Linked DNA regions of Anolis sagrei. Each later gene encodes a partner of the first gene's protein in a complex. Links are inferred from orthologs where the notes say so. Each region holds a gene or a part of one and is shown on either strand. Other genes may lie near its edges.

Region 1 (7,991 bases):
CTATTGACTCCGGTGTTTTTCTGTGTTTTTTTTTACTCTGCATTTACCTTTCTTTTGTAACCAATTTTTCATCAATAAACAAGGATTGCTTTTCCTACAGTCCAGAGTGGTGGATTTAATCTTATGGTCTTGTTTCTTGAACTGGGATGCAACACATACAGTGGGTTATTGGGTGTCTTCTGTCCGAATTTGGTGTCAATTCGTCCAGTGGTTTTTGAGTTCTGTTAATCCCACAAACAAACATTACATTTTATTTATATGGAAGTCTAGCTGCCCCCTGCCACGTGTTGCTGTGGCCCAGTCTGGTGATCTGGAAAATAAAGTAATGAGAAAGTGTTGATTTCGAATATATGTAATGTCTTTCTGCTTGTGGGTAAACCGTATTTCTTGTTGTTTCTTTGTCAGTGTTGATGTGGAGAGTGTCTGGTTTGCCCACTCTGGAACATGCAACATATCATTGTCCTTCTTTAGGGGTCCCTTTCAAATCTCTGATACTATATCTGTGTGTGTGTGGATCATATCTCTATATATATATCTATGGCTGGATGGCTCTTTGTCAGGAGGGCTTTGATTACGTTTTCTTGTCCTGGTGAAGGGAGTTGGGCTGGATGGCCTTAAGTATTTTCTGTTGGTCATGGGGTTCTGTTTGGGAAGTCTGGCCCAAGTCTGTTGTTCGTAGTGTTCAGAATGCTCGGATTGTAGGTGAACTATAAATCCCAGTAACTACAACTCCCAAATGTCAACGTCTATTTTCCCCAAACTCCATGTTCATATTTGAGCATATGGAATATTTGTGCCAAGTTTGTTCCAGATCCATAATAGTTTGAGTCCACAGTGTTCTCTGGATGTAGATGAACTACAACTCCCAAACTCAAGGTCAATGCCCACCAAACCCTTCTAGTGTTTTCTGTTGGTCATGGGAGTCTTGTATGCCAAGTTTGGTTCAATTCCATTATTGGTGGAGTTCAGAATGCTCTTTGATTGTAGGTGAACTATAAATCCCAGCAACTACAACTCCCAAAAGATAAAATAAATTTTTTTGAGTAATGGTCACTTCTTGGGTTAGTAGGTGTCTTGTGGCCAAATTTGGTGGCAATTCATCCAGTGGTTTTTGAGTTCTGTTAATCCCACAAACAAACATTACATTTTTATTTATATAGACTAGCCACCCCCTGTCAGGCATTGCTGTGGCCCAGTCTGGTGAGGAAGAACTTCCTGACTGTGAGAGCCGTTCAGCAGTGGAACTCTCTGCCCCGGAGTGTGGTGGAGGCTCCTTCTTTGGAGGCTTTAAAGCAGAGGCTGGATGGCCATCTGTCAGGGGTGATTTGAATGCAATATTCCTGCTTCTTGAAAGGGGGTTGGACTGGATGGCCCATGAGGTCTCTTCCAACTCTTTGATTCTATGATTCTATGATTCTTTCTGCTTGTTGGCAAACAGTATTTCTTGCTGTTTCTCTGTCAGTGTTTATGTGGAGATTGTCTGGTTTGCCTACTCTGGGACATGCAACATATAATTGTCCTTCTTTAGGGGTCCCTTTCAAATCTATGTTATTGTTTCTCTGTGTGTGAATCATATATATCTATCTCTATCTATGGCTGGATGGCTCTTTGTCGGGAGGGCTTTGACTACGTTTTCATGCCCTGGTGAAGGGAGTTGGACTGAATGACTTTAAGTATTTTCTGTTGGTCATGGGGGTTCTGTGTGGGAAGTTTGCCCCAATTCCACCATTGGTGGGGTTCAGAATGCTCTTTGATTGTAGGTGAACTATAAATCCCAGTAACTACAACTCCCAAATGTTGACGTCTATTTTCCTCAAACTCCATGTTCATATTTGGGCATATGGAATATTTGTGCCAAGTTTGTTCCAGATCCATCATTGTTTGAGTCCACAGTGTTCTCTGGATGTAGATGAACTAATAATAATAATAATAATAATAATAACAACAACAACACTTTATTTGTGCCTCGCTACCATCTCTCCAAGGGACTCGGTGCGGCTTACATGAGGCCGAGCCCAAATACAATACACGCAATAATGACAACAATACAAGCAATTAAAATAAAAAAAACATGGACAATAAGATATGCAACATTAACAATAAGACAGCACACAATTAAAAATGTGGGAAGGCCAAATGTAGAATTAAAATTGAAAATAATGCTGGGGTTACAACTCCCAAACTCAAAGTCAATGCCCACCAAACCCTTCTAATGTTTTCTGTTGGTCATGGGAGTCTTGTATGCCAAGTTTGGTTCAATTCCATTATTGGTGGAGTTCAGAATGCTCTTTGATTGTAGGTGAACTATAAATCCCAGTAACTACAACTCCCAAATGTTGACGTCTATTTTCCTCAAACTCCATGTTCATATTTGGGCATATGGAATATTTGTGCCAAGTTTGTTCCAGATCCATCATTGTTTGAGTCCACAGTGTTCTCTGGATGTAGATGAACTAATAATAATAATAATAATAATAACAACAACAACACTTTATTTGTGCCTCGCTACCATCTCTCCAAGGGACTCGGTGCGGCTTACATGAGGCCGAGCCCAAATACAATACACGCAATAATGACAACAATACAAGCAATTAAAATAAAAAAAACATGGACAATAAGATATGCAACATTAACAATAAGACAGCACACAATTAAAAATGTGGGAAGGCCAAATGTAGAATTAAAATTGAAAATAATGCTGGGGTTACAACTCCCAAACTCAAGGTCAATGCCCACCAAACCCTTCTAATGTTTTCTGTTGGTCATGGGAGTCTTGTATGCCAAGTTTGGTTCAATTCCATTATTGGTGGAGTTCAGAATGCTCTTTGATTGTAGGTGAACTATAAATCCCAGTAACTACAACCCCCAAATGTCAAGGTCTATTTCTTCCAAACTCCCATCTGTGTTCATATTTAGGCATATGGAATATTTGTGCCAAGTTTGGTCCAGATCCATCGTTGTTTGAGTCCACAGTGCTCTCTGGGTGTAGGTGATCTACAACTCCAAAACCAAAGGACACTACCCACCAAACCCTTCCAGTCTTTTCTGTTGGTCATGGGAGCCCTGTGTGCTAAGTTTGGTTGAATTCCATCATTGGTGGGGTTCAGAATGCTCTTTGATTGTAGGTGAACTATAAATCCTAGTAACTACAACTCCCAAATGTCAACGTCTATTTCCCCAAACTCCACCAGTGTTCACATTTGGGCCTATTGAGTATTCTTGTAGAGTTTGGTCCAGATCCATCGTTGGTGGGATTCAGAATGCTCTTTGATTGTAGGTGAACTATAAATCCCAACAACTACAACTCCCAAATGACAAAATCAGATTTTTTTTTTTTTAGTGAAGGACATACATTGGGTTGTTAGGTGACTTATGTCCAAACTTGGTGTCAATTCGTCCAGTGGTTTTTGAGTTCTGTTAATCCCACAAACAAACATTACATTGTATTGTCGAAGGCTTTCATGGCCGGAATCACCGGGTTGTTGTAGGTTTTTTCGGGCTGTATGGCCATGTTCTAGAGGCATTCTCTCCTGACGTTTCGCCTGCATCTATGGCAAGCCTCCTCAGAGGTAGTGAGGTCTGTTGGAATTTGGAAAATGGGTTTATATATCTGTGGAATGACCAGGGTGGGACAAAGGGCTCTTCTCTGCTCGAGCTAGGTGTGAATGTTTCAACTGACCACCTTCATTAGCATTTGAAGACCTGGCTGAGCCTGGGAGAATCTTTTGTGGAGAGGTATTAAGATGTGCCCGAGCTAGGTGTGAATGTTTCAACTGACCACCTTCATTAGCATTTGAAGGCCTGGCTGAGCCTGAGGGAATCTTTTGTGGAGAGGTATTAAGATGTGCCCGAGCTAGGTGTGAATGTTTCAAGTGACCACCTTCATTAGCATTTGAAGGCCTGGCTGAGCCTGGGGGAATCTTTTGTGGAGAGGTATTAAGATGTGCCCGAGCTAGGTGTGAATGTTTCAAGTGACCACCTTCATTAGCATTTGAAGGCCTGGCTGAGCCTGGGGGAATCTTTTGTGGAGAGGTATTAAGATGTGCCTGAGCTAGGTGTGAATGTTTCAACTGACCACCTTCATTAGCATTTGAAGGCCAGGCTGAGCCTGGGGGAATCTTTTGTTGAGAGGTATTAAGATGTGCCCGAGCTAGGTGTGAATGTATCAAGTGATCACCTTCATTAGCATTTGAAGGCCTGGCTGAGCCTGGGGGAATCTTTTGTGGAGAGGTATTAAGATGTGCCCGAGCTAGGTGTGAATGTTTCAACTGACCACCTTCATTAGCATTTGAAGGCCAGGCTGAGCCTGGGGGAATCTTTTGTGGAGAGGTATTAAGATGTGCCCGAGCTAGGTGTGAATGTTTCAACTGACCACCTTCATTAGCATTTGAAGGCCTGGCTGAGCCTGGGGGAATCTTTTGTGGAGAGGTATTAAGATGTTTTTGCTGTTTTTATTTACATTACATTTTTATGTATATAGATAGCTAGATTGAAGTTATTATTGAGCTTTCTGTCATTAACATTTCCCATTGACTAGAGCTGTTGTGATACAGCAACCTTTGGCAGACTACTTGCTCTGTTGAGTCAGGAAACTCAACTGCCACTAGTCAAGTCTCGCGAGAGACAGAGAGAGAGAAACGGGAAAAAGCAAAACCCCGCGCCCGCTCGTAATAACGGCTGCCATAGCAACCCCTCAGGAGCCACGCCCCTTTCTTCCCGCCTGCTTGTTTGAGGAACAGAGGGGAAGCCCTTGACAGGCAGAGCCAGACCAAGCGGGGGCGGGACTTCCGGGCCGGCGGACGCCTCTCCTCCTCCCCCCTCCCCCCCACCCGGAAATGACGACGGAGTGTCAACATGCAAGATGGCGGCTCATCACAGGCAGAACACGGCCGGGCGGCGGAAAGTACAGGTGAGGGAGGCGAAAGGAAGGGCCGGCGAGGGCGGAGGGGGGGAGGCGAGGGTTAGGAGGGTCGAGGCCCGGCTCCTGGACCCTGAGGAGGAAGGAGAAGGGGGAAGAGGGCCAAGGTGCGGGGAGGAGGAGGAGAGGAGGGAGGCGGCTTGGCGGGAAGACCCAGGGGCCTCCGTTGTCCGTGGCAACGGGAGAACTTCCCTCAGCATCCTGCCTCTCTCCCTCGCTCCTCTTCCTCCTTCTCCTCCTCCTTTCAACCTTAATCTATATAAATACAAATGTAATGCTGGTTTGTAGGATTAACAGAACTCAGAAACCACTGGGGGAATTGACACCAAATTTGGACAGTACAGCCCTAACAAACAGTACAATTTGGACAGTACAGCCCTAAATGAAGGGCAATGAGTGTTCATCACCCCAAAAATTACAAAAACCAACAAAACTCCTAGCAGAACTGACTTAAAAAACCCAAAAATATACCATATATGTGTGTGTGTGTGTATCCATATCCATATTTTATTTATTTACTTTATTTGTATACCGCTCTTCTCAGCCCTTAAGCCACTCAGAGCGGTTTACAACAGTTTAGATATACAGAATACAAAATCATTATGCATTTAAAAACAATTACTAGTATTATATTGCATTACATTACAATATTATAAATATTATATGTATATACAATATATTATATTATAACATATTATTAGAATAGCACAGGAGACAAGGTGGAACTGTCCCCTGGCCCCTCTTTCTTCGCTCTGGCCCAGAGCGGCAGTTGGTGCTGGGGGGGAGGGGTCCCCAACGGGTCCCCCACACACATATATATACACACACATACACGAGGACAAGCCCGTCAAATACAAATACAACAATACATCAACAAACAAGCAAGCAAATAAAACAATATAAATAATACAGTTAAACATATAAGCAATAGCACACAAAAGATTTTAAAGCATTATTACAAACCCAGATGTAGATTAAAATTTCAAAACCCTGGGTGTGAACAGAGTAGGGTATGTCTACGCATGGGAGGGTTTTAAAGAGTGATATGGGGGGATCAATCCAGATAGATAAAGTGCTTATATCCATATATATATATATATACACACACATACATACATATACACACACACATATATATATACACACACACGCACACACACTCATGTACACATGCACACACAAATATACACATGCACACATATATAAACACAAATATGCATATAGACAATCACACATATACACAATATACATATCTACATATAAACACACAAATATATATGCACATATACACATCTTCACATACACATATGCACACACATATATACACCCACATATATATATATATATATATATATATATATTATATACACGCAAACACATATATACACACACACACACACAAAACACTTATATACAGACTGGGCCACAGCAACGTGTGGCAGGGGACAGCTGATAATAATGATAATGATAATAATAATAATAATACTTTATTTATACCTTGCCACCATCTCCCCGAAGGGACTCAGGGCGGCTTACATGAGGACAAGCCCATCAAATACAAATACAACAATACATCAACAAACAAACAAGCAAATAAAACAATATAAATAATGCAGTTAAACATATAAGCAATAGCACACAAAAGATTTAAAAGCATTATTGCAAGGCCAGATGTAGATTAAAATTTTAAAATCCTGGGTGTGTACAGAGTAGGGTATGTCTAGGCATGGGGGGTTTTAAAGAGTGATATGGGGGGATCAATCCAACGGATAGATAAAGTGCTTCAGAGGACATATGGAAGGAAATTGGTCAGATCAAGCATTATTTCCTTCATTCAGGGAAGGCACACTGGAACAGCCACGTTTTCAATCTCCTCCTAAAGACTGCCAAGGTGGGAGCTTGTCTGATAACTTTAGGTAGAGAGTTCCAGAGTCGGGAGGCCACCATAGTGAAAGCCCTCTCCCTCGTCCCCACCAATTGCACCTGCATGGCAGAGGACAACTAGTAATAATAATAATAATAATAATAATAATAATAATAATAATAATATTTATTTATACTCCGCCACCATCTCCCCGAAGGGACTCAGGGCGGCTTACATGAGGACAAGCCCGTCAAATACAAATACAATAATACATCAATAAACAAGCAAGCAAATAAAACAATATAAATAATACAGTTAAACATATAAGCAATAGCACACAAAAGATTTAAAAGCATTATTGCAAGACCAGATGTAGATTAAAATTTTAAAACCCTGGATGTGTACAGAGTAGGGTATGTCTAGGCATGGGGGGTTTTAAAGAGTGATATGGGAGGAATCAATCCAACAGATAGATAAAGTGCTTCAGAGGACATATGGAAGGAAATTGGTCAGATCGGGCATTATTTTCTTCATTCAGAGAAGGCACACTGGAACAGCCATGTTTTCAATCTCCTCCTAAAGACTGCCAAGGTGGGAGCTTGTCTGATATCTTTAGGTAGAGAATTCCAGAGTCGGGGGGCCACCATAGAGAAGGCCCTCTCCCTCGTCTCCACCAATCAGGCCTGCGAAGAGGGTGGGAGCGAGAGCAGGGCCTCCGCAGATGAACAAAGAGATCGCGTGGGTACATAAACAGAAATGTGGTCGCATAGGTAGACGGGTCCCAAATCGTTCAAGGCTTTGTCGGTAAGAACCTGCACCTTGAATTGGGACCGGAAATGAAGGGCAGCCAATGGAGCTCCTTAAACAGGGGTTAACCACTCTCTGTAAGTCACTCCAGTTAGGAGCCTGACTGCAGCCTGTTAAACCAATTAAAATTTCCGAGCCGTCTTCAAGGGCAGCACCACGTAGAGTTCATTGCAGTAATCCAGTCTGGAGGTGACTAAGGCATGGACCACCATGATCAGATCTGACTTCACGAGCTGGTGCACAAGTTTTAATTGTGGGAAGGCCCTCCCCGCCACCGCTGACGTCTGAGCTTCAAGCGTTAGCGATGAGTCTTGGGGGACGCCCAAGCTGCCGACAAGGACGAAAAAGTAGTAGCTGCTCCTTTAAAGGGAGGGGGAATCAGCCTTTTACCAAATCCTCAAT
Region 2 (7,370 bases), on another chromosome or scaffold:
AGGATTATTTTATAATATACATGTGTTATTGTGATAATTTTATGCTAATTTGTTTTGTTAATTTTATGTCATGCTGTTTACTCTGTATGTTTTGGTGATCTTACTTGGAAACCACCCTGAGCCCTCCTCGGGGAGATAGAGCAGTATATAAATAAAGTTTATTGTTGTTGCTGTTGTTGTCTGCATTGATAATCCTTCTACACTGCCATATAAAATCCAGATTGACTGCTTTGAACTGGATTATATGGCAGTGTTGACTCATATAATCCAGTTCAAAGCATATAATGAGGCTTATCTAGTTTGATAATCTGGATTATATGCCTCACACACTTCAAGTATCATCCCTGTTTGCTTGATGCTGCCTTTCTGCACCTTTTCCAATACACACAGAGAGCATGCATCTGTGGGCCCTTCCACACAGCCCTATATCCCAGAATATCAAAGCAGGAAATCCCACATCATCTGACTCCGATAACCCAGTTCAAAGCAGATGTTGTGGAATTTTCTGCCTTGATATTCTGGGATATAGGGCTGTGTGGAAGGGCCCTATATTGTGGAATATAGGGCCCACTTTAGCCACTACAGCTCAAGGCTATGATTTGGCCAAGGTGGTCCACGCCTTGGTTACATCCAAACTGGACTATTGCAATGCGCTCTATGTGGGGTTGCCCTTGAAGACGGCCCGGAAGTTTGAACTGGTACAGCGGGTGGCTGCCAGGCTCCTTACTGGAGCAAACTATAGGGAGCATACAACACCCCTCTTAAAACAGCTTCATTGGCTGTCGATAAGTTGCTGAGCCAAACTCAAGGTGCAGGTCATGACCTATAAAGCCCTAAACAGTTCGGGCCCTGCCTATCTCTGCGATCGCATCTCCTTCTGGTTCGGGCCCCAGAATGAACAGCCACAGACCCATACCTAATATTATTTTTGCCTGCCATAGCATTGCACTTAATTCCCGGGCAAGAATTTTTGGGCTTGCACAAATCTTGGCCCGGCCTTTTAAATTTTTAATTGCCTTGAACATCGAAGATTACTTTTAATATATGTGTGTTATGGTGACAATTTTTATGCTTATATTTTGTTTGATAATCTTATGGTTATGTTGTTTTTACTCTGTATGTTTTGTGATGTTACCTGGGAACTGCTCTGAGTCCCCTTGGGGAGATAAAGCGGTATATAAATAAAGTTTATTATTTATTTATTTATTTATTTCAGTTACTTTTACCCCGCCCTTCTCAAACCCCAAGGGGGGGACTCAGGGCGGCTTACAAAAAAGGCACAATTCGATGCCTACATAGAGTACATGTACATATAAAAACAGCAATCAACATTTATCACAATTAAACAATCAATATATAACACAATCACTAAAAACTAATCACAAGCTCAGCGTGCGTCTTTCAGAGTTCCATAATTCCATTCTATTTGTCAATTCCAGTCTATCGCCACGTCCTTTTTCATCTGCCAGGTTGTCCAAATGCCTGATCCCAAATCCCTGTTGTCAGTTTTTTTCTGAAGGAAAGAAGGGATGTTGCCGATCTAATTTCCCCCGGGAGTGAATTCCACAGGTGAGGGGCCACCACCAAGAAGGCCCTGCTTCTCGTCCCCGCCAATCTCACTTGTGATAGAGGTAGGGTCGAGAGCAAGGCCTCCCCAGAAGATCTTAGATTCCGAGGTGGGACGTAGAAGGAGAGCCGTTCGGACAGATACACTGGGCCGGAACCATATAGGGTTTTGTAGGTCAAAACCAGCACTTTGAATTGTGCTCGGAATTGGATTGGCAGCCAGTGGAGCTGACATAACAGGGGGTGGTATGCTCCTTGTATGACGCTCCGGTGAGCAGTCTGGTTGCCTCCCACTGGACTAATTGAAGTTTCTGAACAGTCTTCAAAGGCAACCCCACGTAGAGTGCATTGCAGTAATCTAACCGGGATGTAACAAGAGCGTGGACCACCGTGGCCAGATCCGACTTCCCAAGGTACGGGCGCAGCTGGCGCACAAGTTTTAATTGTGCGAAAGCTCTCCCGGCCACCGCCACGACCTGGGGTTCCAGGCTCAGCGATGAGTCCAGGATCACTTCCAAACCTGCTTTGAATATCTGCTTTGAACTGAGTTATTGTAGTCGACACTGGCATATAATCCACTTCAAAGCAGATAATGTGGAGTTTTATACAGATGTGGAAAGGGGCCCTTGTCAAACTACATTTCTCAAGATCCCACAGCATTGAGCCAAGGCAGTGAAAAGTGGTGCCAAAGTGCATCAATTCAACAATGCAGATGCACCCTTAGAGACATAACTCTGGGCGGTTTGGAGTGCAGATCCCACCTATGAGGGGCCATTCCTGGAAAAGGCGGGGTTTTGCCTTGTGCAAGGAGGACTCCTCAGGGTTGGGCGGCCCCTTACTCTCAGGAAAAGGGCGGTGCTGGAAATCTGGCAAGAAGGAGCCCCACCTCCTGCTTTTTGTGCAAAATCCGATCCCCCTCCTCCTCCCAAAAAGAATCATAGCAGAGCCCTTGCCCTCCAGTACTCACCATATTACAAATGGAGGCGATGTTTCTGACAGTCATGAGTCTAAAGGTTGCAGCGATCCCCCACCGCCATCTTTATGAGGTGAAACCCGAAACGGTCATGGTTGGGGGAAGGGGGGGGGGGAGGAAGAGGAGGAGGAAAGAGAGACAGGGGCAGGAGGAAAGCTCTAGCTTGGGGATCCGAGGATCAGACGGCGGGAAGAGAGAGAGAGAGAGGGATGAGCCAAGCCTCCAGCCCTTCCTTCTCTGCCTTTGCCGGCTGCTCCTTCCTCTCTCTCCACTGCGCCGCCTCCCTAGCCCTCTCCTTATTTGCTGAACCGATCGCCTAGATCTACAGGGATCCGCTGTGTCCTGGCTAGGACTGGACTACTACTAATCCCCCTCTCCCGCTTCCTCTTCTTCTCCTTCCTCTTCCTCCTCCTCCTCTTCCCTTCTCTCCATCGCCGAGCAGCGCCCCAGTGATCAACTTTGACAGCGGCATTGAAAACAAGGGAAGGTCAATCCCCGCGAGTGGCGTGGCCGGCAACCAACCGCTTGGCCCAATTGGAGGGAGGCAGCCAATGGGGAGGCGCGGAAGGCCAAAGGGGATGGTCCCACCCACTGGGGCACCCAAGAGGAGAAGAGTTTTAGGGGGAAAGGGACCTTGGCCTGGGTTTGGCTTGAGTTCCTCCAGAAAAAATAATAATTAAGGCTTCTTCTACAATTACATCTAATGAGGCCTTGCCACTTGATGCCTGCTGTCTGTTGACAACGTTTGCCCTGTTGCAGGAGACCCCAAATTGTCTTAGGCCAGTGATGGGCAACCTTTTGAGCTTGGTGTGTTAAAATTCGCCCAAAAACTGAGTATAACTCAGGTGGGGTGTCACTATGAGAAACAAACCATAATTTCACAATATTTATAGTTTACTAGCCGTCCCCTGCCACGCTTTGCTGTGGCCCACATGGGAGTTCTGTGTGGGATGTTTGGCCCAATTCTATCGTTGGTGAGGTTCAGAATGCTCTTTGATTGCAGGTGAACTATAAATCCCAGCAACTACAATTCCCAAATGTCAAGATTCTATTTTCCCCAAAGTCCACCAGTTACGTAGGTGAATTCCCCTCCCATCTGAGGGATGGCTGATCAACAGGGGGAGAGCTCCATATTGATACCAACAGCTGCCTACCAGTAAGTGGGATTTGGGAGACTTTCAAGGTCCCCAAAAGGCACTACATCAAGATCATGAATACATGGCAGTTATGACTATTTAATTGTAGGGGCCCTTCCACACAGCACTATATCCCAGAATATCAAGACAGAAAATCCCACAATATCTGCTTTGAACTTGCTGCCGATCCAGTTCCGAGCACAATTCAAAGTGCTGGTTTTGACCTATAAAACCCTATACGGTTCCAGCCCAGTGTACCTGTCCAAACGTAGCTCTTTCTATGTCTCATCTTGGAGCTTAAGATCTTCTGGGGAGGCCCTGCTCTCGGCCCCACCTCTGTCTCAAACGGGCTTGGTGGGGACAAGGAACAGGGCCTTCTTGGTGGTGGCCCCCACCTGTGGAATTCACTCCCCAGGGAAATTAGGTTATCTTCATCCCTCCTCTCCTTTAGAAAGAAATTAAAAACATGGATGTGGGACCAGGCATTTGAGTAACTATGCGGACAATGGCAATGATGACAATGACTATGATAATGGACTATGGATAAGTTTGATGGAGTCTCCAACCACAGAATTCAGCTAGATAATGGCCACTAGACTGGTATTGTTAGCAGTTTTTAATTATATTGACTTAATGTTTTAACTATATATAATTATTGGCTTTTGTTATGTATTTTATTATGTGTACATAGAGCAGCATTTCTCAACCTGGGGGTCAGGACCCCTGGGGGGGTCGTGAGGGGGCATCAGAGGAGTCGCCAAAGACCATCAGAAAACACAGTATTTTCTGTTGGTCATGGGGGTTCTGTGTGCCCAGTTCTATTGTTAGTGGAGTTCAGAATACTCTTTGATTATAGGTGAACTATAAATCCCAGTAACTACAACTCCCAAAGGTCAAGGTCTATTTTCCCCAAATTTCACTAATGTTCACATTTGGGGATATTGAGTATTCGTGCCAAGTTTGGTCCAGATCCATCACTGTTTGAGTCCAAAGTGCTCTCTGGATGTAGGTGAACTACAACTCCAAAACCAAAGGGCACTGCCCACCAAAGCCTTCCAGTATTTTCTGTTGTGCCAAGTTTGGTTCAATTCCATAGTTGGTGGGGTTCAGAATGCTCTGTGATTGTAGGTGAACTATTTATTATTTATCGTGTCATCAGCAACCATTGTATTACAATTCTAACAGAGCAGAACAAAACACTGAGATTAAAAAGAAAAAGAAAAAAAACCACACAGATTTTGCGAATTTGGTAGTTGGTTAAATGTCCTTTGACCAGTATCTGGCCACTTGGAGTGCCTCTGGGGTTGCCGCAAGAAGGTCCTTCATCGTGCATGTGGCAGGGCTCAGGTTGCATTGCAGCAGGTGGTCAGTGGTTTGCTTCTCTCCACACTCGTATGTCGTGGATTCCACTTTGTAGCCCCATTTCTTAAGATTAGTTCTGCATCTTGTGGTGCCAGAGCGCAGTCTGTTCAGCGCCTTCCAAGTTGCCCAGTCTTCTGTGTGCCCAGGGGGGAGTCTCTCATTTGGTATCAGCCACTGGTTGAGGTTCTGGGTTTGAGCCTGCCACTTTTGGACTCTCGCTTGCTGAGGTGTTCCAGCGAATGTCTCTGTAGATCTTAGAAAACTATTTCTTGATTTAAGTCATTGACATGCTGGCTGATGCCCAAACAAGCTGGAGATGTCACTGCCTTTGGTCCTTTCACTATTGGCTGCCACTTTCCGGCGGATGTCAGGTGGTGCAATACCAGCTAAACAGTGTAATTTCTCCAGTGGTGGAAGGCGCAGATACCCTGTGATAATGCAGCATGTCTCATTAAGAGCCACATCCACTGTTTTAGTGTGGTGAGATGTGTTCTGCACTGGGCATGCATACTCAGCAGCAGAGTAGCATAGCGCAAGAGCAGATGTCTTCACTGTATCTGGTTGTGATCCTCAGGTTGTTCCATTCAGCTTTCGTATAAGAAGTTTCTGGGCTGTATGATCGTGTTCTAGAAGCATTTTCTCCTGATATTTCACTTGCATCTGTGGCTGGCATCTTCAGTGCAGAACACAAAACATCAGAAGAAAATGCTGCTGGAAAACGGCCATACAGTCCTGAAACCACACAACACCCTCATTGTGAATTATTGTGAAAAAGAACTTCCAAATGAGTGTATGTAATAAGACTACAAATCTGCAATTCTTTTTTCCCCCATTCTTCTTTCAGAAGAGGACATTGCCTATTACCCATGCCACTAACCCATTATCAATTGATATCCAACTTCCAAGACACCGGCTTCCAAAGCATTGTGAGCTCTTCACAGATCTATTTTATTGACATGGGGGAGGGCTAGGCATGGCATCACAACAAAGTCAGACTTTCCAGAGCATTGTGGAAAATTACATTTGTAATTCTCATCACCTTCGAAGTTTGACTATTGCTGCTGTCATATAACCTCAAAAAAATCTTCTGACCTTCAAGAGGGAGCCAACAGAAACAATCTTGCCCAAGGTCCATTTAGACATGGATCTTGTTGTTGTTCATTTGTTCAGTCGTCTCCGACTCTTCGTGACCTCATGGACCAGTCCACGCCAGAGCTCCCTGTCGGCCGTCACCACCCCCAGCTCCTTCAAGGTCAGTCCAGTCACTTTGAGGATGCCATCCATCCATCTTGTCCTTGGTCGGCCCCTCTTCCTTTTGCCTTCCACTTTCCCCAGCATAATTGTCTTCTCTAGGCCTTGCTGTCTCCTCATGATGTGGCCAAATTACTTCAACTTTGTCTCTAGTATCCTTCCCTCCAATGAGCAGTCGGGCTTTATTTCCTGGAGGATGGACTGGTTGGATCTTCTCGCAGTCCAAGGCACTCTCAGAACTTTCCTCCAACACCACAGCTCAAAAGCATCTATCTTCCTTCGCTCAGCCTTCCCTAAGGTCTAGCTCTCACATCCGTAGGTTACTACAGGGAATACCATGGCTTTGACTAGGCAGATCTTTGTTGCCAGTCTGATGTCTCTACTCTTTACTATTTTATCGAGACTGGACATTGCTCTCCTCCCAAGAAGTAAGCGTCTAGAAATACAAAGTCTGTCACGGCCTCCACGTTTTCTCCCTCTATTTCCCAGTTGTCAATCATTCTTGTTGCCATAATCTTGGTTTTTTTTTTTTAATGTTTAGCTGCAACCCAGCTTTTGCGGTTTCTTCTTTCACCTTGATTAGAAGGCTCCTCAGCTCCTCCTCGCTTTCGGCCATCAGAGTGGTGTCATCTGCATATCTGAGGTTGTTAATGTTTCTTCCAGCAATTTTCACCCCGGCTTTGCATTCATCAAGCCCCGCACATCGCATGATGAGTTCTGCATACAAGTTAAAAAGGTTGGGTGAGAGGATGCAGCCTTGCCGTACGCCTTTCCCAATCTTGAACCAGTCTGTTGTTCCGTGGTCAGTTCTGACTGTTGCTACTTGGTCCTTGTACAGATTCCTCAGGAGAGAGACAAGGTGGCTTGGGATGCCCATCCCACCAAGAACTTGCCACAGTTTATTATGATCCACACAGTCAAAGGCTTTAGAATAGTCAATGAAGCAAAAATAGATGTTTTTCTGAAACTCCCTGCCTTTCTCCATTATCCAGCGGATATTGGCAATCTGGTCTCTCGTTCCTCTGCCTTTTCTAAACCCATGGATCTAGTCCACACAAAATGAAGCTTTGTTAAGCTTTGGC

Evidence for each region.
Region 2: the proteins of WDR48 (region 1) and USP46 are in contact, whole or in part, in a crystal structure (PDB 6JLQ), measured with the Homo sapiens proteins. The link is inferred for Anolis sagrei from reciprocal best matches to the Homo sapiens genes WDR48 and USP46. Residues at the interface, in NP_065890.1 of Homo sapiens: Arg50, Trp77, Asp118, Tyr119, Lys121, Leu137, Arg139, Ser170, Tyr172, Thr188, Asp211, Asn212, Lys214, Ser230, Gly254, Trp256, Arg272, Ile364, Leu424, Lys425, Gly521; in NP_073743.2 of Homo sapiens: Arg181, Leu183, Asn184, Cys185, Glu186, Thr187, Cys222, Ser223, Glu224, Lys226, Cys232, Cys233, Ser234, Lys235, Gln236, Glu237, Gln239.

Annotation. Positions count from the first base shown.
Region 1 is NC_090026.1:123,937,823-123,945,813, forward strand, and holds the start of WDR48 (WD repeat-containing protein 48), read left to right. Parts: upstream 1-4,813; 5' UTR 4,814-4,861; coding exon 4,862-4,909; intron 4,910-7,991. UniProt on the Homo sapiens protein: Regulator of deubiquitinating complexes, which acts as a strong activator of USP1, USP12 and USP46. Enhances the USP1-mediated deubiquitination of FANCD2; USP1 being almost inactive by itself.
Region 2 is NC_090025.1:75,293,732-75,301,101, reverse strand, and holds the start of USP46 (ubiquitin carboxyl-terminal hydrolase 46), read right to left. Parts: upstream 3,050-7,370; 5' UTR 2,570-3,049; coding exon 2,534-2,569; exon of another isoform or gene 2,521-2,533; intron 1-2,520. UniProt on the Homo sapiens protein: Deubiquitinating enzyme that plays a role in behavior, possibly by regulating GABA action. May act by mediating the deubiquitination of GAD1/GAD67.